Linked DNA regions of Kluyveromyces lactis. The protein of the gene in region 2 interacts with the protein of the main gene of each other region in a biochemical or structural test. Links are inferred from orthologs where the notes say so. Each region holds a gene or a part of one and is shown on either strand. Other genes may lie near its edges. The genes, in order: LSP1 and PKH1.

The links.
Region 1: the proteins of PKH1 (region 2) and LSP1 form a complex in vitro, tested with the Saccharomyces cerevisiae proteins (2 studies listed by BioGRID, with this or other methods). The link is inferred for Kluyveromyces lactis from reciprocal best matches to the Saccharomyces cerevisiae genes PKH2 and LSP1.

Annotation. Positions count from the first base shown.
Region 1 is NC_006041.1:1,270,813-1,286,721, forward strand, and holds LSP1 (lipid-binding protein LSP1), read left to right. Parts: upstream 1-2,134; coding exon 2,135-3,091; downstream 3,092-15,909. Other genes in the region: ULA1 (Ula1p), read right to left, coding at 1-1,342; KLLA0_E14433g (TauD/TfdA dioxygenase family protein), read right to left, coding at 3,690-4,838; KLLA0_E14477g (ferric reductase family protein), read right to left, coding at 10,979-13,129. UniProt on the Saccharomyces cerevisiae protein: Together with PIL1, main component of eisosomes, structures at the cell periphery underneath the plasma membrane that mark the site of endocytosis.
Region 2 is NC_006039.1:1,052,716-1,070,063, forward strand, and holds PKH1 (serine/threonine protein kinase PKH1), read left to right. Parts: upstream 1-7,451; coding exon 7,452-10,229; downstream 10,230-17,348. Other genes in the region: CORVET complex subunit VPS3, read left to right, coding at 1-1,215; mitochondrial 37S ribosomal protein mS46 RSM28, read right to left, coding at 1,304-2,317; TPT1 (tRNA 2'-phosphotransferase), read right to left, coding at 2,728-3,438; MZM1 (Mzm1p), read right to left, coding at 3,988-4,335; IZH1 (PAQR-type receptor), read right to left, coding at 4,712-5,659; KLLA0_C12463g (uncharacterized protein), read right to left, coding at 6,026-6,646; ARP9 (Arp9p), read right to left, coding at 10,378-11,712, 11,826-11,855; centromeric DNA-binding histone H3-like protein CSE4, read left to right, coding at 12,129-12,683; formin-binding protein HOF1, read right to left, coding at 12,878-14,701; LPX2 (Lpx2p), read left to right, coding at 16,050-17,348. UniProt on the Saccharomyces cerevisiae protein: Serine/threonine-protein kinase which is part sphingolipid-mediated signaling pathway that is required for the internalization step of endocytosis by regulating eisosome assembly and organization, and modulating the organization of the plasma membrane.

The DNA.
Region 1 (15,909 bases), on a different chromosome or scaffold from region 2:
CTTGTGATACCATTGCACCAAGAATTGATGCCATCGCAGGGCTGACAAACGTTGTATCATGTCTATCGTTTTGTAGCGATAGCAACTTATTGAACTTCGGTTTTTCACTTATAGTTCTAGTTGCCGATGAGAGGCTACCCATTTTAATTGCATCCAAATGTTTTAAGTTCTCGAGCATTTTATCTATGAGTGGTTCAGGTATCAAACTATAATTCTCCTTTGCTAGAATGCGCATGATTTCTGATTTATCCTTGGCAGCTTTACGTTGATATACTGCTTTCTGCGCGTTGAATAGTTTAGTTGAGGATTCCATATCTGGAATGAATGCGGACACAGGTAAATCGCCTCTCAAATCGTAAAATATTCTGATGCATCGTACAAATTGGTATACCCATCGATTAATTGTAGAATTAGGTTCAGCATGAAAACTATTCAAGATGTTGGTCAAATTGTGAGGAAATGGTCCTGATTGATCGTATAACAGGAATGAGGACCTCTCTGCTTCCACAAAGTTCAAATCATTGGTCAAGGGTCCAGAGAGTATAGAATCGTGAAGTTCGATGAACTCTGCCCTCACTGATTTTCTATTGATAGGAATATTCTTTGACTTTAATGATTTTCCCACATTGTACAGTAGAACGGAATAAGGCAAGGAGGATACCTCTTCCTGTGACATATTTTTTACATCGAATGATTCGTGATATTCTGCTAGTTCAGGCCACATACGATTGAGTCTTAAATCGAAAGTGAAATGTCCATGAGAATCAATGACACAATGAGGTTCACTGCCTATAAGACGAACAAATCCCAAGTTATCGTTGGTGGATGCCATTATCAGAGGAACTGCTGAGAGTTTCATGACACGTTGTAACAACGGACCAGCCGTGCACAAACATATGACAATAGAGAAAGAGTTCCATAACTTATGTTGTGAATCAATTGGAACTGCATTCTCGTTCCAAATATGGAACGTAACATCTGGATTCATACTTTCTAACGCATCAAAACCTAAAATATCCGAGTTTGACTTGTTCACAAAATCTGATCCATTAGACGAGCCAAAAACTACAGTAATCTCATGAATACCCATGAGAGCCAAACTCTTGACACATTCTCGCATCAACAATGTCTGATTATCGTCTACAACGCACACATGAGACTGAGAAAGTAAATCCTGGCCTGAATGGCCCCAGATCATCAACTGTCGATCATAACGGTCATCCAAACCACCATTTATCTGATCAGCCATAACCTGTACCAACGCCCTTGGTCCTTGATCTTTAACACTAGTTCTAATGCAAGAGAGCCCGCCTTGATTGGAATCAAATGACGTATTTATCATGAGATGAGCTTAAAAGTTCAAGCGAATCAGTTGGATTACCAAAGTTCAAGCTAGATCAACTGCATACCGTTACCCGGACGAGTACTTCAGCATTACCCTAAAACTTCATAAGAGACTCTAAAGAGCCAACATAAGGCCGGCAATACACTGTTAGTTCGTCATTTCCTGGCCCTGTTTTTGCTACGGCTATATCATAAACCAACACCACCATCACCAGACAAAGCGGAAGCAGGAAGTACTATAATATCATCCACCTACATACGATTCTTTCCAGTCTCGAATGATAAGCCGAAAAGAAGAGTCGAACAAAAGTTTCTGAAGAAACCAACATAGAGAACCGTGCCCGCAATTTGCAAAGAAGAGAAAAATTGCGTGGCTCATGCCATGTCAATGTCCCTAGAGAAAGTAAGTGTGGGTCATGTTCTGTTTCTCTTTCTCTTTCTATGCATTTTTTTTTTTTATTTGGGAATAACTGAAAAGGGCAATAGGCAGTAAAAAAATAATCAGAGTTTCTTGGCCTGGGACAGAACCTTTTTTGCTATCTACATATAACTTTCCTCTATATAAAGTAATTGATTATCTTTCTACCTGTCTTGTTTTCTGACGGATTAATTTTAGGGGTCTTACGCAGGTATATCAAGTAAACTTCGATACATAGTTTAATCTAGTTGAATCGAAATTTTTTTTGGGCCAATTTACTCTTCTAGTGCTGCTTTTAGATTAAGAAATAGGGGAAACAGAAAATATTCGATATCAAGAAGTTAAATTAAATACCGATACTAGTCTCCAAAAATGCACAGAACTTACTCTTTGAGAAATAAGAAGGCTCCTACAGCTTCAGAGCTCCAAACTCCAGCTCCACCACAATCTACTACCAAGTCTAAGTTTTTTGGTAAGGGTTCTTTTGCCTCCAGTATCAGAAAGAATACTGCTGGTCAGTTCGGCCCATTGTTATCTAGAAAGCTATCCTCTTTAATTAAGACCGAAAAGGGTTACTTGAGAGCTTTAGAAGTTGTTGCTAGTGAACGTCGTGTTGCTGCTAAACAATTGTCTCTATGGGGTTCTGAAAATGACGATGACGTGTCTGACGTGACTGACAAGCTAGGCGTTCTTATCTATGAACTGGCTGAATTGCAAGACCAATTCATTGACAAGTATGACCAATACAGAATTACTTTGAAATCTATCAGAAACATTGAAGCTTCTGTGCAACCATCAAGAGACCGTAAGCAAAAGATTACTGATGAGATTGCTCACTTGAAGTACAAGGACCCTCAATCCACCAAGATCCCAGTTTTGGAGCAAGAATTGGTTCGTGCTGAAGCCGAATCGTTGGTTGCTGAAGCCCAATTGTCTAACATTACCAGAGAAAGATTAAAGGCTGCTTTCAATTATCAATTCGACTCTGTGAGAGAATTAGCTGAGAAATTCGCATTAATCGCTGGTTACGGTAAGGCCTTACTAGAACTATTGGACGATTCTCCAGTGACTCCTGGAGAAGCTAGAGCCGCTTACGATGGTTACGAAGCTTCAAGACAAATCATCATGGATGCCGAATCAGCTTTGGAATCCTGGACCTTGGATGTCGCTGCTATCAAGCCAACTTTGTCCTTCCACCAAACAGTCGATGATGTTTACGTCGATGAAGATGGCGAGGAAGGTGAAGCCTTAGCTGCTGAAGAAGAGTGGGCTGGTGAACATGAAGGTGGCCAAGAAGAAGAAGCTGTTGAGACTACTGAAGTTAAATAAGCTCTCGCGATCACATGCGTTAGTTTATTTTACCAATGCCGCTACACTCACTTCTTTAAAAATGTATGTGGCTAGCGTATATTGGAATGATTTATTGTAGAATCAAATACTCGTTCCTGCCGTGTACGTGCCCTCTTTAACTTTTAAAAATGAATTTTTCCAGAGAGCTCGCAATGTTACTGTGTGACAGGTAAAACGGTAGTATGTGAAGTCCGTTATACCATTGCTACTCTCATATTCTATGTAATAAAACATTTCTATATCTCTTTTAAGTAACACTAACTTCTAATATCGTGCTGAGTTAATAACAGCCATTGGAATTCGGTCGTAATATCGATCAATCTGTTTTGAATTTTCCTGCTGGCTTCTCTAGGTATGAATAAAAACGGCCAATAAATCACAGGAAATAACACTCGAAAAGTCTTTGGATTTAGTGGAAAGTTCGAGCTAGCAAGGATAAGATACGGAACAACGTGATAATTGATTCAAGTATCCTTTTTAGAAACATAAGTATATTCATTTTAAAAGAAGCAGTCAGTTAAAGTCTTAATAAGTTAAGTTAAAACAATTTACATAGCATGAAAAAATTGAAGGAGCTTCATTTACCAGGTTTTGAACCAATTGGGTAATAATTTGGGTCATTCAAATATTTCAAATCCTCGACTGGTCTTTCTGCCAATGGAGTCACACGGACATGGTGTCTTGTAGATTCAGAAGCATCGAAATCATATACACCAGCATGATACAATCTACGATTATCCCATACAACTACAGTGCCCGGCTTCCAATTAGCCCTAACTTGAGCATCATGAGCATTATCGATAACCTGATACAAAAATGCTAGAAGAGCATCTGATTCAGGTTTCTTTAGTTCGACAATTTTTCTGGTGAACACTTTGTTGATGTTAAGGACTTTCTTCTTCAAAACTGGATGGACTCTTACCACAGGATGGATAACGTCATAGATTTCATGTCTTGAAATGCGCTTGGTAGGATCAGGAGAAAAGGCATCGCCGTTTGGTGGTAACGCGTGAACGGCATGTAATCCACTCAAATATTCTTGCAAGGATGGCGACAATCTATCAAAGATTTCAATCGCATCACCAAACAAGGTATCACCGCCAGATTGAGGAGCATCAAGCACTGCAAAAAAGGTATAACCGGATGGCTGTAATTCAAATGTGATGTCTGTGTGGAAATACACAGAGGTCAAAGTTTGTTCGAAAAATTTGTCATAGTCTTCTGTTTTCACATTTTTGTAAACCACATGAATATAAGGATGACCCTCTGGAGCTGGGGAAGCGTGATGAACGTGCAATTCACCAAAATACTTCCCATACTCTTCAATGTATCCAGGACCTCTATCGACAAAGTCTTGATCTCTAAAAATAAGAACACCTCTTTCAGCAGTCAAAAGAGCTAGCTCATCCTTGCCAGCATTATCCAACTCACTAAGTTGAAGGCCCCTAATTTCAGACCCCAGTTTTGGAGTAATAGGACTGATTTCAACACCACTTGTCAACAAATGGGGAAACTTTGGATTAGCTTTCAATGCAGGATCCTCATACTTAACGAAAGAATGTGGAGGGAATTTCTCATTAGGATCCCAGCTTGGTAGATAATCTTTGTATTTAGCTTGTTTTTTTTCCTTAGCGGATGTTCTAACGACACCGTCATCGTCAGCGTTCAATTCGGCGGTGATAATTCCTTTGTTGGCTCTCCAACTTTCTAAGGTTGATACAGGCATCGTGTTCTGTAGTTGTATTGACCTTCAGTATTGATCTTTCGTCTTTTTACTGATGTGAAGAAACGGTGCCCAGAAAAAGAAGCTCAATCCCATCTTCTTATATACATATCATTTTGATGTCATGTAGTGCAACAAGTACACTTATGAACGTTCCTGATGTATGATACGAATAAAGGCTCGCTCTCCTCTCGACCGGAATTTATGCGGACGGAGTCATCCTAAGTCACGGAAAGTCTAATAATGACTAACGTCAGCCGTTCAGACGTGCATTCGGCATAAAGGGCTGAAAATGCGACCAATACACTTAAGATAATATCACGTTATAATTCATCAAATACAGTGAGAAAACAATGTCAGAGCTCGATCGTTTTTCCTCTACGACTTTTTTTCACCCGTCAATGACTTAGGAATAGTTTGTTGATTTGAAATATCAATGTCTTTACTGAAAGATAGGAAAAGACACGACAATTTCTCTATATCTCCAGATTCTATCACTTGTGGCCACACAAAGAACTTCCTAGCCTTCTTCTGAACCTGGCTACCATAACCTGGTGAACTGGAGTTAAAGTTCCAATAGTGATGCAGGATATCGATTTTTGAGTCACGTGTTATTCACAGCAACAGCGAAAGGACATGCATAACAATGTACTAGTGGGTGTTTTTACAGGGTTTGGCTGATAGTCAGACGAAGTCTAATTTGTTCCGTTATATGGACTATGATTTTTACTGTGAAACCTCAAGTACGAACGTATACCTATTCATCAATGTTAATGTGCGATTGAGCCGTTAACAGAACTTTGGTGATAAGTGTAGATACATTTACGAAAACATTTTCCATGTCATTTCCGTGTGTTAACACTTTGTTCATATGGGTGAATCACTTATGGCTTCTGTCTGGGTACTAGACATTATTTCCTTATTCACACAAAATCTAGCTGTTTAGAGTAGATGGTTTGATATGGGCAAATATTATTGTTTTATGCTTTAAATTTTACGTATTTCAAAAGAAAATCGATGTATAGAAAAACAGAGTGCACACCACTCGCGCAGCTTATAACAACATATTGGATGTCTGTTTGAGACTTTTAAGCGTGGTATTAACAGGTTAACTTCAAGCTTTCTGATGTCACTGAAAATGGCTCATGATCGATAATTTGCTTGGAGAGCCCCAATAGGATTCTTCTCAAATCCGCATACAACAGAATTGTAAGTTGAATTATATATCAAATTATGTTCTCACTTAACCCATTGGTTCTGGAATATAACTGATCTGATTTATACAAGCTCTATACGAGTATGAATTCTGTAGTTCTCATTGGCATTACCCTATCAGTAATTTCAATCTAATCGTATAGTATACACTGGCCTGTAACATAAGGGTAAGGTACTGTTTCAGCAATTTGCCCCCCGGACTTAAAAAGATCACTTCCAAAAAGCCCATATCCTTAGGGATTACACATTTAACTACTGAAATGAATTCTCAAAGCTTTGAATTAGTTTAGTTAGATATTCTATTAAATATCTGACATTTGTCAAATAGTTGGTTAATACTCAGGGCAGCTAATATCACGTGAATTAACCATTAACAATGTGTACTGTGCTATATCGTAACTCAATGCTGCATCAAAGAACAGACAGATTTATACGGTGAACGTTTTTGGGAATTGAGGATATGGAACTAGAGGTTTGTATCATAAGCCACCTCTGACATTAGCATTTGATGATCCGTAAAAGCGAATACTGAGCTAGTAGCTGGGTTTTGAAATTATGGCTTACAGCATAAGTTACATGCTGAGCTTCCTTCGAGTGTTCAAAGTTGGCTGTCAACACAGTTAAGGTGGTGCTGCAATCGTTTTGGCTGTAATTGGCGAGAAAGCGGCTGCAAAAACTAAAAAAGAATCAAATTGTATTTCGCGTCATAGGTCGTCCGAAAAAGTCACTACTGTGATAAATGAGACAGAATGTACTGGGTAGTCTATCTTTGTTTATTTCAAAACAGAGAAGCTACATATGTCTGTTAAATTATCAAACTATCAATAGACGGAAAAAGACATAAAACTGACATTCGGTAAATTTTAATAATGAGATATGAAGCCACTTATTTGTTCACTAATCGGTATTGATGGCTTAGCAAGTGTTATGATAGAATATCCATAAAGCTATACTGCGAATGATCAATAGTTGGTAAAATACGATATCTATCTCATATGTATTTTTTGAAAGCATTATGTGTCCGTATAAAACATTGAAACCTGTAGATATGTATGTAAATTCTTTCGCTCAAAATGAATAATGCCGATGATTCGACATCTATGCATCCGTGCGGCAGGCCTCGAATATGAAAGATGAAATAGACGTTATTTCTTGCGCTTCTTTTCTTTTATTTACAACTGCTTGGTTTTGATCCAACTTATCTGCACCAACTTGCATATTTTTGCCGACGCAGAAAACCTTGCAGAAAACTATTCTGAAACTTCTTTCAAACCAGTTGTGATGAGAAACATAGCATTCAGGCACATTAAAAACCCGTCAAGGAAGGTGACTGAAAATAACAGATTCCCACAATTATGTTCCAAAAACGCAGACAATAAATAGCGGGTTGGGTGCATAATTCTCATCACTGGTCATCTTAATAGGCTTAGGATGGACCGAAAGCTTGAAAGTCAATAGGGCTTTTGTTTTGTGTCTACTGTGAAATATCAATATAAATATGGGGTTCAGGTGAGTCTATGATCTATTGAATTCTCGATGGATTTTTTTTTACCTTTCTCTGTTCTTTTCTAGTCTCTTGTTTACTACCAATCATACTGTTTTGAGTTCAGTGAATTGACTCAACAGAACGACTCAATACCCCAATGGAGTGTAAATAAAAATAAGGAATTAGAGAAAAGTTCTTCATGGGAATGATGAAGCGGTCTACATAGGACACATAAATTAGAAGTTTATAGATACAAAAAACGAAGGGAAGTATAAACATAAAAAGAGAAACAAAAAAAGACTGGACATCAATTCCTTTCTAAGTTATCAATGTCTACGCCTCAATTTCTTAATACGAGAAGAGATCCATTCTGAGATTGGATCCTCACCCTCAGTTTCGACACATTCACCTTCATTCAATTGTTGGCCAAATTCATTGACTAATTTCGGGTCTCTAATACAGAAAGTCAAGATCAGCATGGGCACACAGAAGACTAAACCAACAAGAACTTCGTACCTTTGGACGTGTTCGTAAGCTTCAACCATAGCGGCCCTAATTGGAGTACCCCATTCATAATCCAGAATGAAATCCAATGGGGAATCGTAGGCAACAGCGGCTAGATCCGCGTCTCCTCCCAAATTCTTTAGCAAACGTGGGTACAGCAAATTGGTCCAGATAGCACCAGAAACGGAAGAGCCAACAGCACCACCAATACTAAAAATGGTCATCAACAATGCGGTAACGGTAGCCATATGTTCGTGGGAAGTGACGGACTGAGCCGTTGTGACTGGGTAATCGTACATACAGCTTGCAACGCCCCAGACAACCATGGCACCAATGACACCAGCAGCAGAGCCAATACCACCTCTGTAACGGAAAAACAGACCCATGACGACGAAATACAAGCAGGCTCCAAAGATCATGTAAAGCTTTAGTCTTCTAGTTCTAGCAACCATGAAACCAAAGACTGGAGAGTAGATACCCGCGACGAAACTGTACAAGTTCATAATTCTTGTTGCAGAAAGATCAGTTTGATTCATACCGACCAAAAGAATTGTGTAAAGGTAACCAGCTGCCATTACATAAACGAAACAGACCAAGAACATCATCCACATTGGAGCCCAAATACCACGGTCCTTCAACAACTTGAATGGAGCAAATGGAGCCTTAGCCCATTGACTTTCCCAGTAAATGGTGACAGGAACAAGGAAAACCCCAAGAACTAACGGTCCGATGATCTTACCAGTTTTCCATTCGTTCTCAATACCACCAGCAATTGTCAATGGAACAAGGATGCAACCCATAGATGCTGTTAACAAGAGTAAACCAATGATATCAAGTTTCCAAAACAATTGGACCAAAGTTTGAATGAGACCATGGGTTTGATAGAAAGTCTTTTCTTGTTTCAATTCCATCCACTCTGGAGTCTTGCTTGCCTTCTACCTCATATGAAGTACACAAACGATTAATGGGATACAACTTAAGGGGAAGATGAATGCCCACATTGCAATGTTCCAAGACCAATTTTCCAATGGGTTGGCTACCTCGACGATGTTACCGGAAACCCACATGTTAATGATAGCTGGCCAAGCAGGAACAAAGTTGTACAACACTCTCCATCTCAACGAAGAGTTATCGGACAAGAACAAAGTAACTTGAAGCATTACACCAACAAGTCCCACGTTATAGAAAACGGACCCGGCGCAATATTTCTGAATATCATACGCTTGCGATTGAATCACGGTACCAACAACGTAAAACACAATGGCAACGATCATTAAACTCAATCTACCAAACACGTCGGACAAACCAGCAAAGAAAAGTTGTGCAACTGCTGAAATCATCATGTTCACAATACCAATGGTAGTTAAAAGAGAATGCGTATCATAATCATTTGCTGCATAAGTCATATAAATATCTCTGATACTACTGTCCAAAGAATAACCATACGAACAAATAAAGGCGGACAATAAGAATATAGTCTGGTAGAACCACGTATCATACTGCCTGGCCATGATTTCAGCCTTACGAATGACAAGAGACTTGGTAGCCAACAACTTATCGACATTCCCGAAATCATTAAGCTTTTCAGGCGTCAAGCTCTCATCTACTGCAACCTCTTTTTCATCGTTGTTGAAGCCTTTATTGATGTTTTCATCCTTCACAGTAATACTGCTTTCTTCAGCAACCGACATTGTGTGTTAATGCCTGTTCCTGTTTACCTCAGTAAGATTAATATACATAATATACCATCCCCGGAAAAAAGAGGACAGAGATTCCCAATGAAAATGAATTCTATGCAACCATTATATACAATACGAAGATCGAAGATCAGAATAAGACTTGTCATGTGTAAGAGAATTACAACGTTCTTCACACAGACTAAATCCAAGGGGAGAAAGAAAAGTATTGTGAAAAATATCAAAAACTTGGGTGTCAAATTTGTTTCTTTAAAGTGCTGAAGCGATGAGATGAGATATAGAACAGAACTGACATGGCTAGCAGCAATAATAAACACTAGAGAATGGCAGCTCTTCCGATTCCTTACCCTAAGAAAAAAAAAAAAATCTGTTTCACTAAAGGTTTCGAGCCTGTTTTCTTATAACCACTCAGATAACAGAGTAGGAGTCGACCCAATTTTGTTTCTAAGAGCCAAGAAGCCATCGGATGCATGCGGTTCATCCTCCCAAGTTTTGGTTTCAAATGCGGTTCGCATAAGATCTAAACCAGGTGCAATGGGTGATATCTTGATCTAACAAAATTGGCACAAAGCAAGATTTTGAGTTGTAATCCATGTCCCGTGAAATTTTCTTTTTCTCTTCTATGTAGAACCAGCCGTACGAACAAGCATAGTAACCGTAGGTTGCCAAGGAAAAGCTCTATTTTGGTGAAGTGAAAAGAATGAAATACAGTTAAAGCTTTCATTTACATTGTCGGAAATACAGGTCTTGGCGGATTACCGTAGTAGTATTGTTTCTGTGCCATGTTATTGAACACTTAGTCATATTATTACTTGGGCTTGGGGCTCGGCTAACGATCTCCCCCAATCTCAGTCACAGCAGTGCGAGATTATAGATACATGCGAATCGTTATTGGGTGTTTTCTTTTGAGAATGTCGGTAGTATGGCGGTGAGTCACGTGATACTAACAATCAACCACTAGTGTGAAAACAAAAAAGAACAAGGATAAGGCAAAAAGGCAACAGGCAAAGACAACCTTGGCTGCTTCGGCCGGAAGTTGAGAATCAGGTGTAGTGTGTATATGTCTAGTTCACGGCTGATAAATACATTTTCGACAAATTACAATAATAATAATAATAATAATAAATACACGGTTTAGCTTACGTGATAAATTAAGGCAGCAACAACAATGAGCTCGGAGGAAGAGTATATATTGGTCACTGAGTGTTAAGAACTTAAAAAAAAAAAAAGGACAGTGTTTTTCACCATACTTGAGCCTCTTCGAAATAGTCAACTCTGTATTTGGAAACATCTAAGTTGTTTGCCACTGTATCTCTGATTTGATCGTTCATTGGTCCTGGACCGCAACTCAAAATTGCTGTAGAACCAATAGCGTTGTGAAGATCTTCCACAATTAAGGATTGTAAGTCTGGTCTACCGAATAAGAAGTTTATTCTGGAAAATTGCTTGAAAAAATTGATTTCGCAATCTTGAGTTGATTCTTTGACGTCGAGTTTCTTTTCAGAGTCTGTTTCGCCAGCAGATGACGCAGAAGAATCTACGATTTGCTGTGTCGGCTGGGTAATATAGATGTTGATCTCACCTAGCCGGTCTTGGAGTCTCAATAGCTCTTCTCTAAACCATTCCAGTGGCGAAGTGTCTCTAATGATCCAGATCCATTTAACAGTATCGGTGGAACTTTCAGAAAGTGGTTTCGTTAAGGCATCGTAATTGGAGTATCCAGTTGGTACACCATTTCCACCAGTGATGATGATAGAATTGGAATAGTTCTTCAATGGGGCTTCTAGTCCGTAAGGGCCTTCAACTAAAACGTTGATCGATTGGCTTTTATTAGATGTGTTGGCTAGACTCTTAGCTAAGGATTTGGTGAGACCTTCCTTTACCTTGGCGTATATGTAAATGTGTTTCCCGTCACTGTCGTCGTCATGAGCTAAGATGGTGAATGGATGCGATTGCCAAAATCCGTATGGTCTCATGAAGTAAATGTAGACAAAAGCACCTGGGAACGGTTTCCAAGTCTTTGGTCTCGGAACTTTGATTTTGATTGTGTTATCTTCCTCGAACAATTCGCAATCTGCTTTGCTGAATACTCCAAACCATAGTAAACGGCAGACTCTGAAAAAATGGTCTGCACACCAAACAGCAATGGAAGCATACACGTATTCCATCCATTGGCCGCTAAAGATTCTTAAGTGATACCATAACCCGGAGATGTACAAAGCAGAAAATAAAAAGTGAATAGTCTTGAAGGTTTCATACCATCTGATACGGAAATATGCAGACGCTAAGAATAACATTAAGCCACCAGTGATTGTTGCAATTGCACCCCAATACCAATACTGCTCTTCCCAGCTCATAGCAAGATAGTCCATTTCAAGGTATGTCCAACAAGCAGAATGGATTAATGCATGAACCCACATCCCTCTTGCAATCCATTTATGATACACCAAGAAAGTTTCGTATGGCCACCCAGTTAAATACAACAATAGGTTATTTCTACCAGATAGTAGGAACACAGCAGGTGTATGGATTGTTGACATCACCCCTGTTCTATACTGAACCAAGCTAGATGTTTGCATGGCTACCTGATGTTTACTAGTGGTGTAGAAGTTGTCAGAAAAGATATCGTAATTGATACAACTTAGAATCACGTTCAAAGCAAAATAACCGAACAAAATGTACGTCTCTGCCCTTGTAGGAATAATACCTAAGATCAACTTTTTCCATCTAAGGATTTGCGTATGTTTGGTATTTGCCGGTGGGATGGTGAACAACCTTCTGAACATGTTTATCTTGGGTCCAACGATTTTTTCAACAAGTTTTGGACACAATATTCTAGACCAAGTAACCAATCCTCCAATAAACATACATCCAGCAAAATAAATGAATATGGCACCACCATAAAGCCTGGTATGCTTTTGCGATTGTGCTCTGGTCACGTAGGCTCTAGTGTAACGCTTCACTTTCCTTCTTGGCGCAATGATGGGAGAAGTCAGATTTGTGGATGCATTGAATCCTGGCGTATTATCGACGTCAATAGCTTCTGATTTAACTTTTGCATACAGTTCATGCAAGCTCTCGACGGTATGGTTGTATACAGGCTTACTATACTGACATCTTTTTATCATTTTCTCCAACATACTATCTAAACGATCGGGTTTCTGGTTATCAACGTTGCAAATAAGCCAGGACTGGAATCTGTTTCTTGTCGGTTGACAATTTGGTGCGTAAAGGGAACCAAGATCGTTGTTGAAGGTATATGCCTGCAATGCGTCTAAGCATGCCCAGTACACACTCTCCTCCTTGGATAGGAAAGTGTATTTGGCTGCATGACACCAAGATGATAAAAATATGAAGAACACAACCAGGGAATTTCGGCAGCGAACTTGCATTTTGTACTCGACTCGATTTAACTTTCACTGGTTATATATTTCGCCCTCTGAAATGAAAAGGAACATAACAAAGCTATACATATAGATCAAATCTTGGAATATTGATAACTGGACTGCAACAGTTGAAACAATGATGGAGTATTTATACAATTCTATCCATGCAACTGGCAACCGATAAATAGAGCAAAGACCATCGAGCTTCTCGACCTGGGCGGATCGCTCCGTTAAAGGCCAAGATTCACATCATTCGGGGTGTTATTCGTCTATCGGTGTTGTCTCGGTTTGATTCTCTCGTAGGCTAAAATCAGTTAGCTGCACTGAAAGGGCTTGACTCTCGCAAGTGTATAACCGCAATTGGCAATCGAGCATTTAATGATCTTACCACCGATCCAGTGAAATGCGCAAATGTAACAACAGTGCCAAGCGTTACCAACGAAATCATCGACTTAAGCTTTATGATTCAACATAATACTACTAAAATCTTCAAATTTTGTGGAAAAATTCCTCCTTCATCCATTGAACCTTGAGGCTCATACATCATGATCTGCATATTGTTTATAGCTAGAGCTTGTTTTTAGTAGGAAAAAATGGGATAAGGGTCATAAATGCCAAGAAAAAAAGGGTGCCATTTTACATTAAGTATACCTCGAAAGTATAAACAAATCAACAATTTAGACTTTCATCATCTTGAATCAAAGTATCGTATGCGACGTTATTACTCGTAGTTGCCGACGTAGAACGGAAAAAAATCATAGCTTCACAAAAAAAAGTGAAACAGAAAAATTGGGTGTCACTAATAACTTACATGAAATTGTCAGGGTATATCAAAATTTCTCCTCTTATGACTTATGGACGCTCAAAATTTCCACCAATTCTTGTCTTTTTCTGGCTGTCCAGGAGAATCTTATTGCGGTATGCGGTTGTTGATATGATCTTAGTTCGATGTAGGGTTCATAGAATATCACCTTGTGGAATCTTCAAAAAGAAAAATTCCAGAGCCCTTAATCGCCAAAAAAGCCAAGCTTAAAAATAATATAGAGTTTACGGTTTTTAAAAAAATTTCCACATTGGCGCTAGAAAAACCAAAAGAAGTTCGAACTTTAAAACGGGCGATAGACAGGGGATTCGACAGTTTTGATCTTTTTTTTACCTTAGGTTATCAAATAAAATTATTCAATGTACGTTGCAGCCTCACCATCATCGATGCAGCATGTATTGTTTAATGCTTCACCAGCAGGGTCGTAAAAGCTTGCCCGTTCTCGGAATGGTTTGTAGATAATTTTATGCAGGGCAACAAAAAGAAAAAAAAGATACTTTGGAGAGGACTAAACCAAATCGTTACAATTCCACCTAAAAACTGACAATGCTCTCCGAGGTAGAAATTACTCAAGTGGTTTCTTTCTTTTTCTTACTTTCCAATTCACTACAGAAGGTAAGAATGTGAATCGTTACAAAAATGCATATTTTCACTCATAGCTATTCGAAAATATTTGATGGAAGTGCTTCAAACGTAAATTGTGCTGTGTTTTAATGTGCCAAATGATATACACCTTTTTTGTTAGTTTGTATTTCATCAAGTGAAAAATGCGATTGAAGATTTGTTGGCCGTCTCGCCAGAAAAAAGCATCTTATTTTTTTCCACCATCAAGGGTTCACTCAACTGGAAAGATTGTGCTTACCCATCAGAACATTACTTTTAGGTGTTCACATTACCACGAGCCACACAATTGATGAATATCTCAAGGAACTCTTTAATATAAAACCTCACTCCATTTGATCGGTTGAATTCGTTTCCCATATTGACATGCCGGGCTGTAAAGCCAAGAAAAAAAAAACGGGTCTGGAATTTTAGACCCTTTTTTGACTAGCAAAGCCCGAAGAAAATACAAATTAGAAAAAAAGCTTCAAACGGTTAAGTATACCAATATATCTGAGATAATATGCTGAGATTTCTTTAGAAATTTACGTTGATTCATGGCTGGGTGTATTTTTCAAACAGAACGGGAAAGGGATTAAACAGGTCACGTGGACACTAGGACATCATGCAAGACATTTCTATATTGAGTACTCTCTTAAATTTTTCAACACCTCGACAGTTAAAATGCAGGAGCAGAATGTGCATTATATTCGCCTACGAGAAAACTACATAGCTCCAGGCAAAGAAAAAAAGAGTGCGAAAACCGTTAACCATGTCCTGGACACTAATAAAAACCGTAGTATATGAAAACATCACCTGATAATGCGGTTCAACAAGGAATGGTGAAACCTCGCATTACCTGGGTAACTCAAATGACCGCAGTTCCCGTCAGAAAGAACTTCAGAAAGAACTTCAGAAAGAACTTCAGACAATGCAGCTTATTTTCGTTGCCATGCCTACAGGAATATAAGGTATAGTGGAAGCAAATACTGAACACTTGAGCACTTTTCCGACCGAAAAGGGTCCATTTTTTCGTTTATAGAACTGCGCTTTAGGGAAAAAGCAATGCACTGCGCTAACTCTTCACTTACAGTATTTTCGGTGTTCATGATGCCACTTTCTAAGATAGCGTCTGTTGGTGTTCTTCGTTTAACGCATTGAAAAATCTTTCCATAGCGATTTTCGTTACCTTCATTGCAAGAATAATTACAGCATGGCGAGCGTTACTTGGGTGGCCATTTATTCTTTGCAGAAATTTAGTGAGTTGAATTTAAGATGCACCGGAGTTATTTGCTCTGTTCAGGCAACTAATGACCATTAGTGCAGTGAAGGGTCAATCACTTGTTTTTGGTCGTGTATTTAA
Region 2 (17,348 bases):
AAGCTAGTTCACAAGTGTAATGACGTTCTGAACATCATACAATACTTGAAATTTCAACTAAAAGAAACGTGTTCCGATAGCTTAAAAGATAGTGCGAACGTTTATTTATCGCTCGATTTAATTCTATTACGTGATAACATCGCTAAAGGCAGTTCAAATGTTGATGAATACGAGGCGACTAGTTACCAAGAAATTGCTAAAGAGCTTTCTAAGCATAAAAAAGAACATTCAGAAACTTTAATAGCCATATATGAAAAGACAAAAGAAGTGACCCCATTGCTCGAAATACTAAGACAAACAGATCAAAAAAGGCTCATAAATTACCTGAATACTCATTTCCAAGAGCTACCCGATACTTACTCTAAAGAAATGCTGACTGATGATATTTCATCAGCTTTGAAAGATTATAACGATGACACTGTAAGCGACGTTTTACAATTAATAAACAATTTAAACTTAGATGTGAAAAGACTCATCTCATCCATCGAAGACCCTGATACAAAGGTTCTCTTGCTTGAAAAACTGGGTGCGAGTTCCACCCAAGATTTGACATTTCTTTACGAGTACTATAAAGCTAAACTTACTGTTTTGAACAGCAAGCTAATAGAAAGTTCCAATTTACCAATTACGGAGTACATTACCAACATGACATATAACAAGTCTCCTTTCAAAGAGTATTTGAAAAATAAGCTGGGTGAGAAAAAGGAATATGAGGGTTGCTTCGATGTAGGGACCAAGCTTCTGAAAATAGAAAAGGCTTTAAATATAAAAGAAGGTTCTATTATTGATGATATCGATGCTTCTTTCGTTCTACGAATCATGATCACAGATATCAGTGTATTAAAGGAAAAGATCGGGTTCGAAAAACTACTTGATATATATTTATCACGGAATGATTTTGCTACGGTGGAGTCCTTGTTACAAGCCAACGATAAGGTAGTGCTGAAAGTTATCGATCACTATCTAAGTCTCAACAATACTAGGGTCATTAGTCAATTCCTTAACAAGAATACGTGTTGTATAAACGACTCTGGGCTACTTATAGAAATTTTGGAAAAAATACCCCCAACCATTCAAATATCAGTGTTATCGGGTTTCCTATTTCCGTTACTCAGACGAAAAGACGAATCAACATATAATCTACAGATTAAGAAAGGAATTTTAAGGCATCGTACTCAGAATATAAACAATATCGAACGTTGTTTAGAACTGTGAAATAGTGTGATATATCATTAAGTGCATTGTGAAAATATATACATGAAAAATAGAGGTTAATCTTGTCTATAGGCGATCTGGCTTGTAATCAAGCTGTCAATTCAGAGACTGGTGCCAAACCGGAACAGACTTTTTGCAAAAGTTCTTTTTCAGTTGAAGCCAAGTTGCTTTGTTCTAAACTCTTTCTCACAATTTCGCTATTTTGCAGAAGTTGCTCTCTTTTGTCTTCTGCTTTTGTTAGTTTGGCAAAGTCCTTCTTTGTGTATGGCTTGAGAATGTGGAAACTACCCTTGACGGATTGCTCAAGTTTTTCTAGATCCGGAGAAATTTGGATGTTTTTTGTCAACGGTTCCACCTGCAATTTCAAAATGGAAGCTGGCACGTATTCACCAAAGTTGTCTTTGTTCGCTGTCATACGCTTACTGACGTTCTTTCCATTAATTGTGACACCATCATTCAATGAACGATGCACAGGGAAGTCGGCGTCTTTTAGTGTTGAAACTGCATATCTGAATGTCCTTGCACTGAAAGTTGGAGCCAGAGCAGGTCTGTATCTTAGCAACGATAACGGTGTTGGATCTTGTGGAACATATACAGCCGAGTTGTGAATATTTTGCACAACGTTTTCCGATCCCAAATTACTGGAAATTTTCAACCCTGGAACGGTTTTACGAGTTTTCCTTTCATCGCTTCTACGATTCTGTCTGGTACCCAAATTTTGAACTTTGCCTGAAATCTCACTATACTCATTAGTACCGGTAATCTTTGGTGTCTGTCTTTTAGCCGTACCTGTTTGTACTACCGGGCCATTGGTTCCTCTAGTATCCGTTCTTTGTGTTCTTTCTCTAAAATTTTTACCACCACGGTCTTGACCATTACGGACTTGTCTATTATCCCTGGGTTTATTTCCTCCGGATCTGTCATCAAATCTTGCTGTTTGTCTCTTATCTTCCCTCCCAGCTGACCTCACCTTTCTGTCAGATCTTGGTTTACGTGGTTCTCTTGCCTTGATAGGAACTTCCTTCACTCTTTGCAAAACTGATGCTAAAAAGTCCGGAGAGACAGAGCTATAAGCCCTTTTAGAGAATGTAGAAGCTAGCATTATTAAGTAAATATATTAATGCTAGTCACACACTTAAACAGATCACAACTTGATATAGCGTTACCTGGTTTATTACAACCCTATACCTAAATATCTCCGTGATACCATAAGAACTAATCAAGTTCATCATACTGAAACGAGTTTCGCACTCTCATAGGTTTTATGAAAGATCAAAAATTTTCAAGGCGTTCAAAATGATAAAAACACACGTGATCTAAATTTCTTATGATGACAGAAGGAATACAACATTCGGTGGGTTCTGACGTTTTGATATGAACTTAATACAACGGCGAGTACATACAGCGATATGCCTCGTCTAAAAATTGATGTTGTCAGTGGAAAGTCTAAAACAAGTCAATTAATTATTAAGAGGTGATATATATATGTATAGATAAAGCGATCAAGTCGTTTCAGATAATCTCGATTGGAACTTTCATCTCTGTAGCCAACTTTTTTAGCTGTTGAAGTTGTTCACTAGATGCTGCAGATCTGCCTTTCCGTACTTGGATGAAATCAATAAATTTCAACGGTATGTCCTGAGAAGTTAGGTAAACATTATTTAATGATTTCACAAGGTTGAGGCTGTCTAGCATTTCCTGGATCCTTTTGATATGGATGTAAACGTTACTAGAACTTCTCATTCCACTGATGACATCCGTATCTTTTCCAGTAATGCCGGGAGACAAATGAACATGGTTCCGTGACATTTTTTTGATGAAACCTGAGTGAAGAATTGAAATGCAGTTTGATACGTTGGTGCCATGAACCAATTTACTTGATAGTTGTTCTATGTTGGTAATTGGTTTTAAAACGTGTTGCGATGGAGCAATTTGCTTCAATGTATGTCCTTGTGTTGCACAGACGTACATTATCCCTGTATTCGGATCAGTTTTGATATGAAATCGTTGCTTGTCATTACTAGCAACAATATGCTGTATTTCTGTTGACGTTGCTTTCAAGCTTTTGAGTCTGTTATGCTGCAGTATTCTATCCAATGCAATGTAACCATCAGAATCTATAGGCAAGTTTTCCTTCACAGCACCATGTCTCAGCAAATAAGCCAATGCTTTCGAAATTTTCACACTTCTGTCCTTAGGTTCCTGCGAATGCGAGGTGTTCATAATGGTTCAGTTAAATCGAGCTTAGCACTTTCTGTTTTCCCCAATAGCTTTGACCATGTCGTTCTCTATCGGTCATACATAACTAATGGAATGAAATATATATGACAACGAAAAAATAATTGGATGGAACCTAATATGAGTCAGATGACACACACGAACGTATATATAGATGTAAACTTAGGAATTACAATGTGCACTGTAGGCACCGTACGTAAACGCCTTGAAGTTGCATAGTAAAAATGATAAAATAGAGTTTGATTAAATAATAGAGACCGTTGACCAACATAATTCGTTATGTACATGATAAAGTTCCCATATTTGGTTCACGAAACCTGACGGGGAAGGAAAAGAAAAAGAAGATGTAAATTAATGATTGTGTATAAGCAAAATACTGTAACAGAATGCGCCATATCAGGGACTGCAAAACGCATCTGGGGTCAAAGACACCAGAGTTAGTAGTCGAGTAATAGAGTCCCTTCAGAAAGGACGAAATCAGGGGAAAGACAGGTCATCAATCTGCCTCATAATTTGCTATTCTGTTCCAGCTGCCTATTTGTACAAGCCAGCACCACCACCACAACAACCGCCACCTTGGGCCGCCAGTGTCTTTTTAGTAGTCTTGATAGTTTCGTTGTCACCCAATTCAGTGTCCTTATGGATGTTCAAGTGATATTTGTCATCCTTAGTCCTCTTACCTTGAACGACATTTTGTCTTAGAAACTGTGCAACATCGTTCATAAGCTTGATCTGTTGATCAGGTGGAAGCTCTGGATTTGGTGGATTGACCATGCTTTCTCTCATCTGTTGTCTTGCTGCCATTAGCATGCGCAAGTCTCCTTTAAAAGCAACGCGGGCGGCTCTCAACCCGTTTCTGTAAGCTCCGAGCGCTTGAGACATCTCGTGTTTAATATATAAGGATCTAGGTGACTTAGTTTGAAGCTTTACTATACGGTTTTCTTTGTCTTATGAGACTCTTCTCTGTCTAGTTATCACAGTTGATATTCGCCATTCTCATTTATATATATATTTTTTTTTGTTCATATTGAAGAAAAAAGAAAACTGCATAATATAGTAAACTGTCGCCAGAGAATGTTACAAACGACGGAACCAACAATCAGCCGAGTGTAGCAACATCTGCGGTACTTGATGGATTGTCCCATTAAGGTTACTTTCTAATGCTTGCGCGTGTGTCTGTATTTATGTATGAGTTCATGTGTAAATTTCTTGTAAGAAGAATGGTAAGATATATGAGATAAAGTATTGGCATATCTCTTCATCTTATGAAGACAAAGCTCGAGTGATGCATACCAGTATGCATGAAAACATAAGATCCGAGGATGGCTCTGAAATGACAGATGGAGCCTAAAACCACCATTATATGAAATATTTGATGTGAGTGTCCGACGAAATCAAATTTCCCAGGCGCTAACACTTCTGGGAACCTGAACCCGTAAATCACTGCACCGGCAATATAGAACATCGCTTCTAACAAAACATACTTCAATTGAACTCTGCGAATGGCCTCATATGCACCAAATTTCCAAAACCCAGTAACAATTGGAACTATCCCACTCAAACCGAATGTCACGTAAAACATTGCTCTGAAGGGTCTAAAAGTCTTTGAGTTAAATTTGTCGTGTAGTGCAAACACAGTGCAGATAGTTCCCAGAATAACGGTGAATACGGTGAAACATTTGAAATGGAAAATGTGGTCGTGGAATCCATAGTATAACAATGAGATAATGGAACACGTAATCATAATAATGATTCCCATGTAGTCCACTTTAGACCAGATATGACAATGCGATTCGGAGTGCTGCTTTAAGCAATGGAAAAAGCTGCTGCATCCTAAGCACAGCACCGAACCCAATAGGAAGAAATGGATCATAACACTTTGCATCATAGTAGAGTTTGGAAATTGAGGGACGAGAAACATATCTGCTAATCCAACAAGGAGCACCAAATACGTAATAGTCGGGACCAAATGAGAGTAAATGTTTATCGATTCATTATGGAATAAGAATAACGATTTGACACATTCCTTTACACTTTTAGTTTCACGGATATACCCTGTAATAATCTTATCATTGTCTTGTTGCCATTCAGGAAGTTCACTATATCTGTATAACCTTTTTATCGTGCTTGAAATTGCAACAGGAGTTAACTGCTCTAATTTTTCAGAAATAGATCTCCTGTGTCTGATAGTCGTAGTAGCACTCATACTTGTCTTCACACAATTAATATATCACTGGTTGTTGGCAGCACTATGTATACATAAACTTCCCGCAACCTTAGAGTCTTTGTTTTTACTGAAGAATAATAAAATTGTCTCAAATCCAGCTCATCTCATCTCATGATATTTATTTAAGGTGCGAAAACTTCATTTTTCAACAGTTTTCATTTTATTAACCGTTAAGTTTCTTAAAAAATGCATATAAATACGTACTACCGAGAGGGCATTATACGAAAATCCTAACAGTAGTAACCACTAATCCTACTCTTGATAATCACCTTCACGACTATGATCCTTTTTTTTTTTCACACTCAAAGTTTTCTTGTACCTGAGTCTATTGATGTGTCTATGAATTTATATTAGTTCAAGTAATCTCAACACATTTGTTGAGCCCTTGCACTTTCGATTGTACAGCAAAGATTGATTCTTATGATCATCTCCATTTTTACAACCGGTTGGTTGAAGTACTTTCGTAGTAGTTAGTTTCATGGAACGATTCTGCCTTGTAGATACTTCACTGCTTTTATAACTATTTGCAAAAGTCTCGTTTTTATGTCCCTTTATCTTGTGCCAAAATCTTTTGAATTTGGTCCTCCGATGATTAAAATTGTCATTCAGAGAATCGTCACTATTGTGATAATATTTCTTAAAATCTCTGTATTTGTAAGTAGATGACTGCTTGTAGTCATCCAAGAGATTACCTCTACAAGGAGGGACCTTCCACGCCATTGATGAGATATCCGGAGTCAATGGTGAAATTGGTGAATTTATAGGACTGGATTTATACCTGTTCACCTTTAACAAGGAATCGAGTACAAAACTATCCGTGCACCATTCCTTTAAGTTATCAGGTGAAAGGTCTTTGAACCCCTGTGATTTGCTCCATTTCTTCAATTTGCTCTTGAATTTGATCCCATGGACGTATGCCTCTAAATCTGGCAACATGAAGACATTGTAAGAGGTTGCGTGTGCCATTTTTTTATGAGTATTTGGAGACTGTATATGATGATATTCAATTGGAACTGGCAAGAATAACAAAAGATTTCTGTCTTGTAATTATTTATAATAGTATATTTCTTATGTTATGCTCGATGGATCCCAGAGATAATGTCATTTATAAATGCTTGACATGCAAGTATATTCAATGACACATATGACGAACAATAACATCATCGTTAATTACTTTGTGTTCGGAAAGTAACTTGCTCGACGATCCTAGCGCTAGGTGTCGACATTCTCTGCATCTAGACGACAAGAAGCGAAAACAAACATCCACTTGTGCTTCACATGACAGTTGAAGCTCCACACATGACGAGAGTTTACGGATATACGTCCGTATTGAGACGCAAATATATATCACGTGACCACTAGATGTTACTTTAATAAATATGAACATTTGGAATTTACTTAACATTAACATTCAAAGCAAGAGAAAATACGTGGAGAAGAAGAGAGGAAAGAAAGAACGACAATCAAGTCTAGAAGCAATTGTGATAGATATACCCATTAGTGAATAAGGTATTGAGTTGCTAGGAATATTAAAATCCCCTGATTTTTGAATCGTCCTTTTTTTTGTCTGGCTTGTCTTCTTTTAGCAATTGAAGTTCTTCATATTTTAAGGTTTGATGGTTGAAGCATCTCCTTTTTTTGCATTGTAAACATACCCTTAAGCGAATATCAACTAACAGCGTTTTGGTATCAAATATTTCTTTGTTCAATATCGAAATTTGTTGCTTTGCATTTGTACTGATAAAAATACCATTCTAAGAGTTTCATCAATATGTCTTCTGAAGATTCTTTTAACAAACCCATTATACCTACGTCAGGATCTGCCAGATCTGTTATGCATAGACCAACGCCACCTCCAATTCCGATGGAACTATCACATCCTCCTCTACCCACTATCAGAACGACAGATGATTTATCTAACCTCTCAGAAATGAAGCCATTTGGGAAGCCGAATCCTCCTGTTTTAACTAAAGCATTAACAGACGTTGACAATTTTATCTCTTTGGATCCGAAGTATTTGAACAGAAGAAACGACTCTCTGTCTTCAGTCGAAACAATTGATTCCACGCGAGATGATAACATTTCAATACCTAAGGAATTACCCATTAGCGAATCAATGCAGCGTAGGCAGAAGGAATGGGCAGATCGTGGTGCTGCAATGATAGTGAAGGATGTTCCGGATAAGCAAACAGGGAAAATCACAAAGCAAGTCATCAAAAAGGGGATTAATGATTTCAAATTTGGAGAAACGTTAGGTGATGGATCTTATTCAACAGTGCTGCTTGCAACTTCAATTGAAAGTAATAAAAAATATGCGGTCAAAATTTTGAATAAAGAATACCTCATCAAACAGAAAAAGGTAAAATACGTTAATATTGAAAAGAATACCTTGCAGAGGTTGAAGAATACCAAAGGAATCATCTCTTTATATTTTACCTTCCAGGATGAATCCTCTCTATACTTTTTGTTGGAATATGCACCAAATGGCGATTTATTATCTCTTATGAGAAAGCATGGTTCAGTCAATGAAAAATGTACACAGTACTATGCAGCACAAATAATCGATGCATTAGGTTTCATGCATGACAAGGGAGTTATACATAGAGACTTGAAACCAGAAAATATCTTGTTAGACGTTGATATGAAAGTCAAGTTAACTGATTTTGGTACTGCAAGGCTTCTAGATAGTACTTCGGAGGATGACCTTAAGTACGATCTGTTGACAAGATCTAACTCCTTTGTTGGCACAGCAGAATATGTATCACCAGAATTGTTGAATGATAACTACGTTGATTTTAGGTGTGACATTTGGGCATTTGGTTGCATTCTTTTCCAAATGATAGCCGGGAAACCGCCATTTAAGGCGAACAATGAATATTTGACATTCCAGAAGGTAATGAAAGTTCAATTTGCTTTTACCGCTGGCTTCCCAATGACTGTGAGAGATTTGGTGAAAAATATTCTAATTAAAAACCCAGAAAGAAGATTGCTGATCAATCAAATTAAAGCTCACCAGTTTTTCGCCGATGTAAACTTCGGTAACGGCTCAGTTTGGGATAAAGACCCCCCAGAACTTGGTCCATACAAGGTTTCCGCCCGTGCTTTGCAATCCTCGGTACCGAAGGTGGCCTCGTCTCCGGCTATTAATCCAATTCATGAACCTGTTCGACAAAGCTCAGTATCACCGAAGATAACCCCTAAAAACACGACAACAGCACAAAGGCCAAATGGTGACACGACATCCACCACAACAAAACGTGAGTTAGACCCTAGAACACAGCGGATTTTGAATAATGTTAAAAAAGAAATTTCTCAGCGGAACCACAGACGGGCTGCCCTTAAACCATCACAACAATACTCCGGCTCTCCAAGCCAAGGTGATATCACTCCTAATCCTGCAACAGCAGCAGCAGCAGCTCTTCAGCAAATTAAGCAACCATTAAATGAAACGACAGCAAAATCTTCAACTTCTTCTGCGGGTTCTGGAAGAAGTCAAAGGAAACCTAGTGGCTCCAACCGCAGTGCAAGTACAAATTCATCATCATCCAAGTCTGCTCCTCCTTCATCGTCTTCTAATATCAGAAAAATATCGTCCGATTTATCTCCAATGAGTAAATTAGATATAATGTGGTCGTACTACTTAAAAAATATACAAGAACGTGTGATAAAGATGGGGGAGATCAATGTTACCACGCTCAAAAACCAAAGTCTTGAAGCGAAGATTAGCAAGTCAAAGCTCTCCCTCTTAGATGCAGACGGAAGGGTGCAGAAAAAAAATACTCTACTGACTCAAGTTGTTAGAGGAGGCGGAAATGTAACTGGCTTTCGTCAAGAGAACTCAAACTTGGTTGAGCATGACTTTTATAGTGAGTATCTGATTGATCCTGAAAATGTTGAAGCGAGCTATCGTAAGCAATCTGGCGCAGATGAGGCTTCGCATGAGGGTATGTCAAAATTGAAACATTTCTTTTCAAAGGCACCTGATGCACCTGCAGAATTTATCGCACAATCAGAATATATTAAAAGAATGTGTGTAATAACGACATTCGGAAGGTGCCTTTTATTTGCTAGAAAAAACAAAATTAATCAAAATTCAAACCTTTTCTATGATCTAGAATATGAGATAGATTTGTCACAGTTAGGTGTTCGCATAAAGGAGGTTGTACCAGAGAAGAAGACAAGTTCGAAAGATATCTTCGTTGTACAGACGCCATTCAAAACATTTGTATTTCAAACGGACGAATCAGATACCCTGGTATGGTTGCATTCCCTAACTTCAGCGATTAAAAGCAAAAATGAAAGATTCACTAATAATGAAACATCAATCAATCCCATTGCTAACAAAGCGGCATTACTAGCTGAGCAGGAAGCCGAAACACAACTTAATGGGTATAAAACTACAAAAACTCCTTTCCTCACTAAAAGAAGGTCCAGTTTTACCTCACAGAGACAAAAACAAAACAATAACGGGAAGCTGGGTACAAGACCAATATCAAGTGGATCTAGAATGCTTTCCCGGAGCGAGCAAATCTTTAGAACAAACAAATGATCAAAATTCTAGTAAGAGTCATAGCTCAATGCTCTAGAGAAGTTTGATGGGCACTTTCTAAATGTACGGTACTCTGAACTGCATTTGCTGATTGAAATTACAATGGATATCTGTATACGTTTATATATTGAAAAAGTACTAGAATTATTTAGAAAGAAACCTCCCAGATGGCCTCTGGGCCTAGTTCGTCATACTTCTCCCTTGTGACATAGAATGAATTGTTAGAATGCCCAAACACTTGCTTTGTTAAGATCTGGGCGCCTAAGAAGGTAATATCAGCGAAACCAATCTTCTTCCATTCCGAGAAATATTCAGGGAACTTTGGTGTCATGATGGTAGTTGGTGGCTGCACATATTCAATCTGATTTAAGATTGGAGCAGTGGAAACCTTCCCAATTTTCTTCTGTTTAGAATCTAATTTAGCCGCAGCATCCACCTCTCTTTTATACAGTTCCTCTTCTGGTTCACTAACTATATGGTCTTTTAGCAGCTGTGATAGAAGAGCTTCCCTGAACCCTTTTATATGTGATGTCCCTCCAACAATAATGACATTTTCCCACATTGCTTTAAGCTTGGTTATGTCATCAATCTGGCTCATTGCTTGTCCTACAGCTTTCGAGACATCCTTCAACAGATCTTCATAGCCTGTGAATCTCTGCCTGCTTACAGTAATACGATTACCATCAGTATCAAAGAAGTCATTTGTCTCTAATTTGCTGTTGTCCAGTTTTTCTTTGTTTTTGTTTCGTTCGCGCTCTTCTAGAATTTCTCGAGTATCACGCCCACTAGTAACAATTGTAGCCACATCTAAAGTACCTTCTTCGTCATCTTCGTTGTCGATAGCGTATTGATCCATGATATCTTGGGACAAAATTTCGTATATATCCGACCTTTTTAAATCCTCAATTTGGGACTCGGTGAGATTTGGTAAAGCTCTCTGTAGATTCTTATTTATCGAGTTTCCACCGGAAGTAATCTGTCTTATGAAGCAGGTTAAGGGTGTATAGTCCATAATTGGTACAACATCGGTGTGAAACTTGCCAATATCGATGATCAAACAATTTTGCAAAGAGCCATAGGCAAATGAATTAGCTAACGAGCTAGGTAATATAACAAAATGCTTCAATTTCATTGCTTCAAAAGCTGTTCTGCAAAGTAGTTCTTGTTGGAATTGAGTCCAAGAGTAATGCGAAATTAACAAAAATGGAATATTAGAAAGAGCTGTATCCCAAGCGATTGGACTATCGTCACTCTCCTGTTTTAACACAGATTTATAGATCAACTTTAGAAAATATTGGAACGCATCAATATCGACAATGCTTCCCTTCACAATGGGACAGATAACAACATCAGTAACAGAGGATGTAAAGTTACCATTTGCATCTCTGTAAACTTTTGTTGGAATAGAAATCGAAGGCGGCTGCAAAGTATCTTCTCCAATACCAAATTGAACCAAAGTCCTATTGGATCCTGGATATATTATCTGGACAAAAGTACCACATGTAGTAATGTGAGTGGATCGGTTAGTAAAGTTATCTTAGTAGTTTAAATAACTAATGTTTTCGGAATAATGAACAATCTGGATACCGCACATACGAAGTAACTGTCTTGTCTTAATGGTGCCATTTTTGCTAAATGGTTTCTAACAATACAACAAAGTGCTCGATTTATCGTAACAATACGAGTTACAGTTGCTAGGTCAATGACGAGACTTTTCCTATCCAAGTAGCTAATTCAAAGTATAAACTTGTTTATCTTCTATTACTTTTTGAATTTTTCAAATAATGAAAACAGTTATCTAGCTAACATTAGCCTACTCAATGATGAATATGACACGCGAAACATTGAAATTAGTTCTATGACACGCAAAAGACCATACGGAAAAGAGATTGATACATAATGGAACAGTCTATCAGGAGCATAGACGGTTCTAGATCTTTGAGCAATGTTGGCGCTTCACTTATAGATCGTGAATCGATCAATCAGAGAGCACTACAATTATTACAGAGAAACAGAAGAAGACGTTTGTTGTTAAATAGAAGTGAAGACAAAGCAAGATACATCCAGCCCGAGCGTTCTGCTAGCAGCCAGCAGATTCACCCTCCAGAGCATCATATCAGCGCACATGAAAGAATAACAAAGGCTCGGGGAACTAGATATAAACCTACTGACCTAGCTTTGGCAGAAATAAGGAAATATCAAAGATCCACAGATTTGCTTATATCCAGAATGCCCTTTGCGAGGCTAGTGAAAGAGGTAACAGATCAATTCACTACCGAGAGCGAACCTCTTCGATGGCAATCCATGGCAATTATGGCTCTTCAAGAAGCAAGTGAAGCCTACTTAGTCGGTTTATTAGAGCATACAAATCTATTGGCACTTCATGCTAAAAGAATTACAATTATGAGAAAGGACATGCAACTAGCTAGAAGGATACGAGGTCAATTTATTTGAAGCAATCCTTCCTATCATTTAAAGTACAGATTTATCTGCTCAGCTTCAATTTGCTAATAGTTTGATGTCTATTGGAAGAGCAGAAATTATATATAAGTATAGAACTTTATATTGGTTACATATGGTTACAAATTCATTATTTAACGGGTGAAAATGGTCAGAAAGGAAAGCGTCCAAGGTGAAAGTGATGTACATCAATTTATTACTTTCACGTAATTCATTGGTACCAGACCATGCTGTTTGTTACCTTGATATACCTCACCCACATACCAGTCATCATTTATGCATTCGACTAACAGCAGGATATCACCAGAATTGAAAAGTAGTATGTTATTTTCATTGGGTTCAGTGTACGAATACATCGCTTTGACATATTTTACGACTGGATTTTTCATGGAATCAACGATGGGTAGATTCAATTGTTCACCATCAATAGTCACACGTTTACAACGCATTATATTCAAAGAGTTGCTGAAAGGCAACACTGTTCTGCTCACAGTTAAGTTGCTAGAAGCACCAGAGCTCGTTCTTGATGTCATCGGACGATCATTCATTTCCAAGATTTCTAATGCTGTTTCGACATCCGATGCGATGGATTTTCTACGATTTGCAGTTGGTGGCTTCAGAGAGTTGTTATTGTCGTTGTCAGAAGTATCCGTATCCATTGTGGGCGAATACATTGATGAAGGTCTAGATTTTCTTCTATTGCGTGAATTCCAAGATTTAGCAAACCTTTGAGAGTCATCGACACTTGAGGCCATGGATGAGAGAGAAGTCGACATGGAATCATAACTTGCCTTATTTTTCCTATGAGTAAAGTCCGTTGGATTTGAAGAAGTCTCTTCTGAAGATTCTGATAATGTTGCTCCATGTCCTGGCTTTGTAACCACTTCTAAATAGTTTTCAACGGAATGCGGAGCAGAGTTATCATTTAGGACCTTCGATTCTATGGAATTAACAAGGGCAGCATCAGTTTTTGGAGTTGGCAACCCTTTATCGACACTTAATGCATTTATTGAATTGAGCCTGGTGTTCTTCAGCTGGGTTGATAGTCTTTTTATATTTTGAACATACCTATCATTCTTTGTTAAATCCAACGCCTTGTGAGAACTCTTCGGACGGATCACATTAGATGGGTTAGAGTTAGCACTTGAGTTGTGCGTTGAAACTGAGTTAGAGTTTTTCAACTTGATTCTTCCAGTACCATGGTGGTAAGAAAAGTGCGATATTTCAAGTTCAGGTGTGAAGCTGGAAAGTTTTTGTTTTAATTGTTCCATCAAAGAGAGTTCCAGTTCCGAAGGCTGGGTTGTAAAATCAGCGTATTGTTGTAGTAATTCCCTAGAGACCTGGATTCTTTGTGTTTCTAAACTTTGCAATTCTCCACTAATATGTCTCCATTCCTCAAACCAATGTGCTCTAGCAGCTTTACATTCATGATGTAAGACGGTTTTCCTACGGTGTGATTCTTCCACTATCGAAGACCATTTTTCCAATTCTCTCGCATTTTCTTTCCTTTGGTATTCGCCCAAGGCAGTTTCTTTGTTGAGCTGATACTCTCTCAGTTTATTCTCAGCACTGAGTAATTCTTGATCTATAGATTTCAAGGCTTTCTTCTTTTCATCTTTCAACTTCCTTAAGTTTTCCACGTTTCCCGTTATCGTTGACCATCTGGCTCTATATTGCTTTAAGAAATCACTCATCGTACCGACATTTTCCCTGTTGAGCCTCTCATATGCCTTAGAATGACCATTGGCTATTGTCTGCTGGGAGGATTGGAAATATTTTAAGGATTCAGACATATTATTGTAGTCCGCATATCGTTCGAGATTGTTCATTATTCTTGCACTGAGTGCTCCTAATCTTCTTGCATAATCCATCTCCAACTCACTTCTCTTAGTGAAACAATCGAGCAATAACTCACAGGTGCATATACCTCTTCCAACATGCTGAAGAAGAACGGTAACACCTTGATCGTCTTCGTCCCAGAAACTTTCTTGATAGTTGTATATTTGAGTCATTCAATCGATAGCTTTCCTTGCTAATACCTACTCTTTGTTATGCCCTCAACTTCCCTTCAATTGTAGATTGTTGAATGACAAAACAGATACCGTACATCTAACTTCAATCCTTGTGAATTGTTAACATACACCGAACAAAGTTTGGTGAGAGAGCCAGAACCATCCATCTCTACAACTGAATACAATCACTGTGATAGTGCTGTTCGATGATGTTTACATTATTCCTGATTGGGGAATAAGTTCAATCACGTGACTTATATTTTTGTTTGTTTATTGCAAAGCAAGTAATAATACCAAAAAGGGAAATTATGCTTAATTCTGTACCTCTATCATTTTTGTCTGTACCGGCCGTACAAGAACATGAAAAGAGAAAGCGAGGATAAATAGGAGAGCCTAAAATCCCCATAATCTCTGACGATTACCCTGGTATATGGACAGCACCGTCTAATGACTTGAGAGTCCAATTAAATTCCTGAATTAACCCATCGCAAAACTCTCTATGTCTCCTTTGTGATATGCTTTAGCTCCGCACGGGATTGCAATGAAATAATTAGCAAAAACGTCGTGAGTATTTTCTTCCTGCTAAGAACCATCAAAGAAGGTTCACAGAAAACAACGTACAAACTGTATATCAGGGTAACCAGCCGAGTTTTCCCCTGTTTTCATTACGACATTGTTCCCAAATTGAGACTATTTCTCTGCAACACAGTACATACAATGATACAATTCGTAATAGCAATCGTCCCCTTAAAAACGGCAAACAAAGATGACAACCAAGGCACCAGCTCAACAGCAAGGGTTCCAACTACACTGAGGGTATAAGTTTCTGCGGTACCTCAGCTTGGTTCCTTCCTTTTTTATTCTCAATTATTCTGGCCAGTTTTTTTTCGCCAGGAGTCCCTAAAAAGTCACTCTAGCCAATTTTTTTTTCTTTTAAGTTTATTTACTTTGCAATATCAAGAAATTATATATCCTTAATTATAGGGTTTCTAATCAACAATTCACTTTAGCATATATTCGCTTCGTTGCTTTATTATAAAACAAACGTGAATTCAAGTGTATTTCGTTCGTAATTACAAGTAAAGGTTTATCATAGTTACGTTTACTCCCACTAGAAAGAAGAGTTAATACTAAACTTCTCAAAAAACGGGCAAAGGATAAGCAAATTACTGATATCGAAATCAGAACGTGAACCAAGTCCTATTGTGTTTTACAAATTTGAGAGGAACATAAACCAAAAAACTACACTACTTGGTCGCTCAATTGTACGAGTCTAAGGAACACTTTCGCTTTTTACTTTGAATTATTAGTAGCTAAGAAAATACCCAGATATATTACCAGAAACAGAATGTCTTTAGTTTCTGCGGTAACTGGCGACGAATCCAGGGATACTAATGGTGCAGAACAAAGTTCTGTTTACCAGAGTGCCGGTAAACCATTATCCAAGGAGGCTCTATACAGAGCAAAATTGAAGTACGGTGTGTTCCAGTCTCCAGCTCAGTCTCTGAAGGCCGGCGTGGTTAATGGTAAGGATGCTTCAGATACTGCTGCCAATTTGGCAACGAGCAACAAGACCACCATCGAAGCCTACAAAAGGTTATTGAATCCAAATGCTTCGAAGGCAGCTAATGCGGTCATTACTCCAAAGAAAACTGACCAATCCAGACCAGCCAGTGCTGTAGTTTCGTCTGCTGCGTCTTCTGCTGCAATTGCTGCTCCCAAGGCTGCTAGGTCTAGGACCTCTAGTACAGCAAGTACTACTGTAACCTATGTCAATTCCAGTTCTTCTTCGCCATTGCACTCTAAGACACCAAAGATGGATATTACTAAAGTTTTGGCGGGTGCTGAAAGAAACGCTGCTGAAAGTGTTCATCAACGTACTAATCCAGAAAAGGTTTCTTATGTGAGAGGTATCACTGATCGTTCTGTGGGCAAAGCTGCTGATGCAAGTTTCTCTCTAACTTCTGATATTGTATCTAATTTACCTACCAAAAAGGAGTACATCCAATCCGCTGAAAAGGAATCTCATGCAGCTGAATGGGCACAGAAAGCTGTTGCTGCATTGAAGGATTTCAACCCGGATGATGTCACCGACAAGAACTGGAGAGAGAGGGAAGAAGAAAGGAAAAGGCTTATCAAGAACTTGACTTCAGAAACAGTCCTAACCAAAGCTAAACTGAACGCTCAACAACGTTTGGATACCATTGATCGTGAGACTTCTCAAAGGGCTATCTTTAGAAACGCGGAGTATAACAGGGCTGCTGCTAGTGTCGCTCAGGAAAATTTAAGAAAGACTCGTTCTTCTGCTTCTGCTACTGCCAATAAAGTAAATTTGGGCGGTGGTTTATGGCTAGCTCCTGATGATATCGATAATATTGCGAAGGGTCTCATTGCACCAGTGCTTGATGAAGTTGACCAAAGAACCGGCGCTCAACGTGCAATGGACATTGATATCCAAAAAAGAAGCGTGGATTACCAACAGCAATACGAAGAATGGGTCAATATTCAAACTGAAAAGCAAAACAATGATTCTTTGCTACAGGCTAAAGCTTTCGAAAATCATCAGAAGGAAACTGCTGATATCGAAGCTACTTTGGCCAAAAAGTTCCAGAATCTTTGTACGCAGAAGGACAGTGAGGTCGCTAAA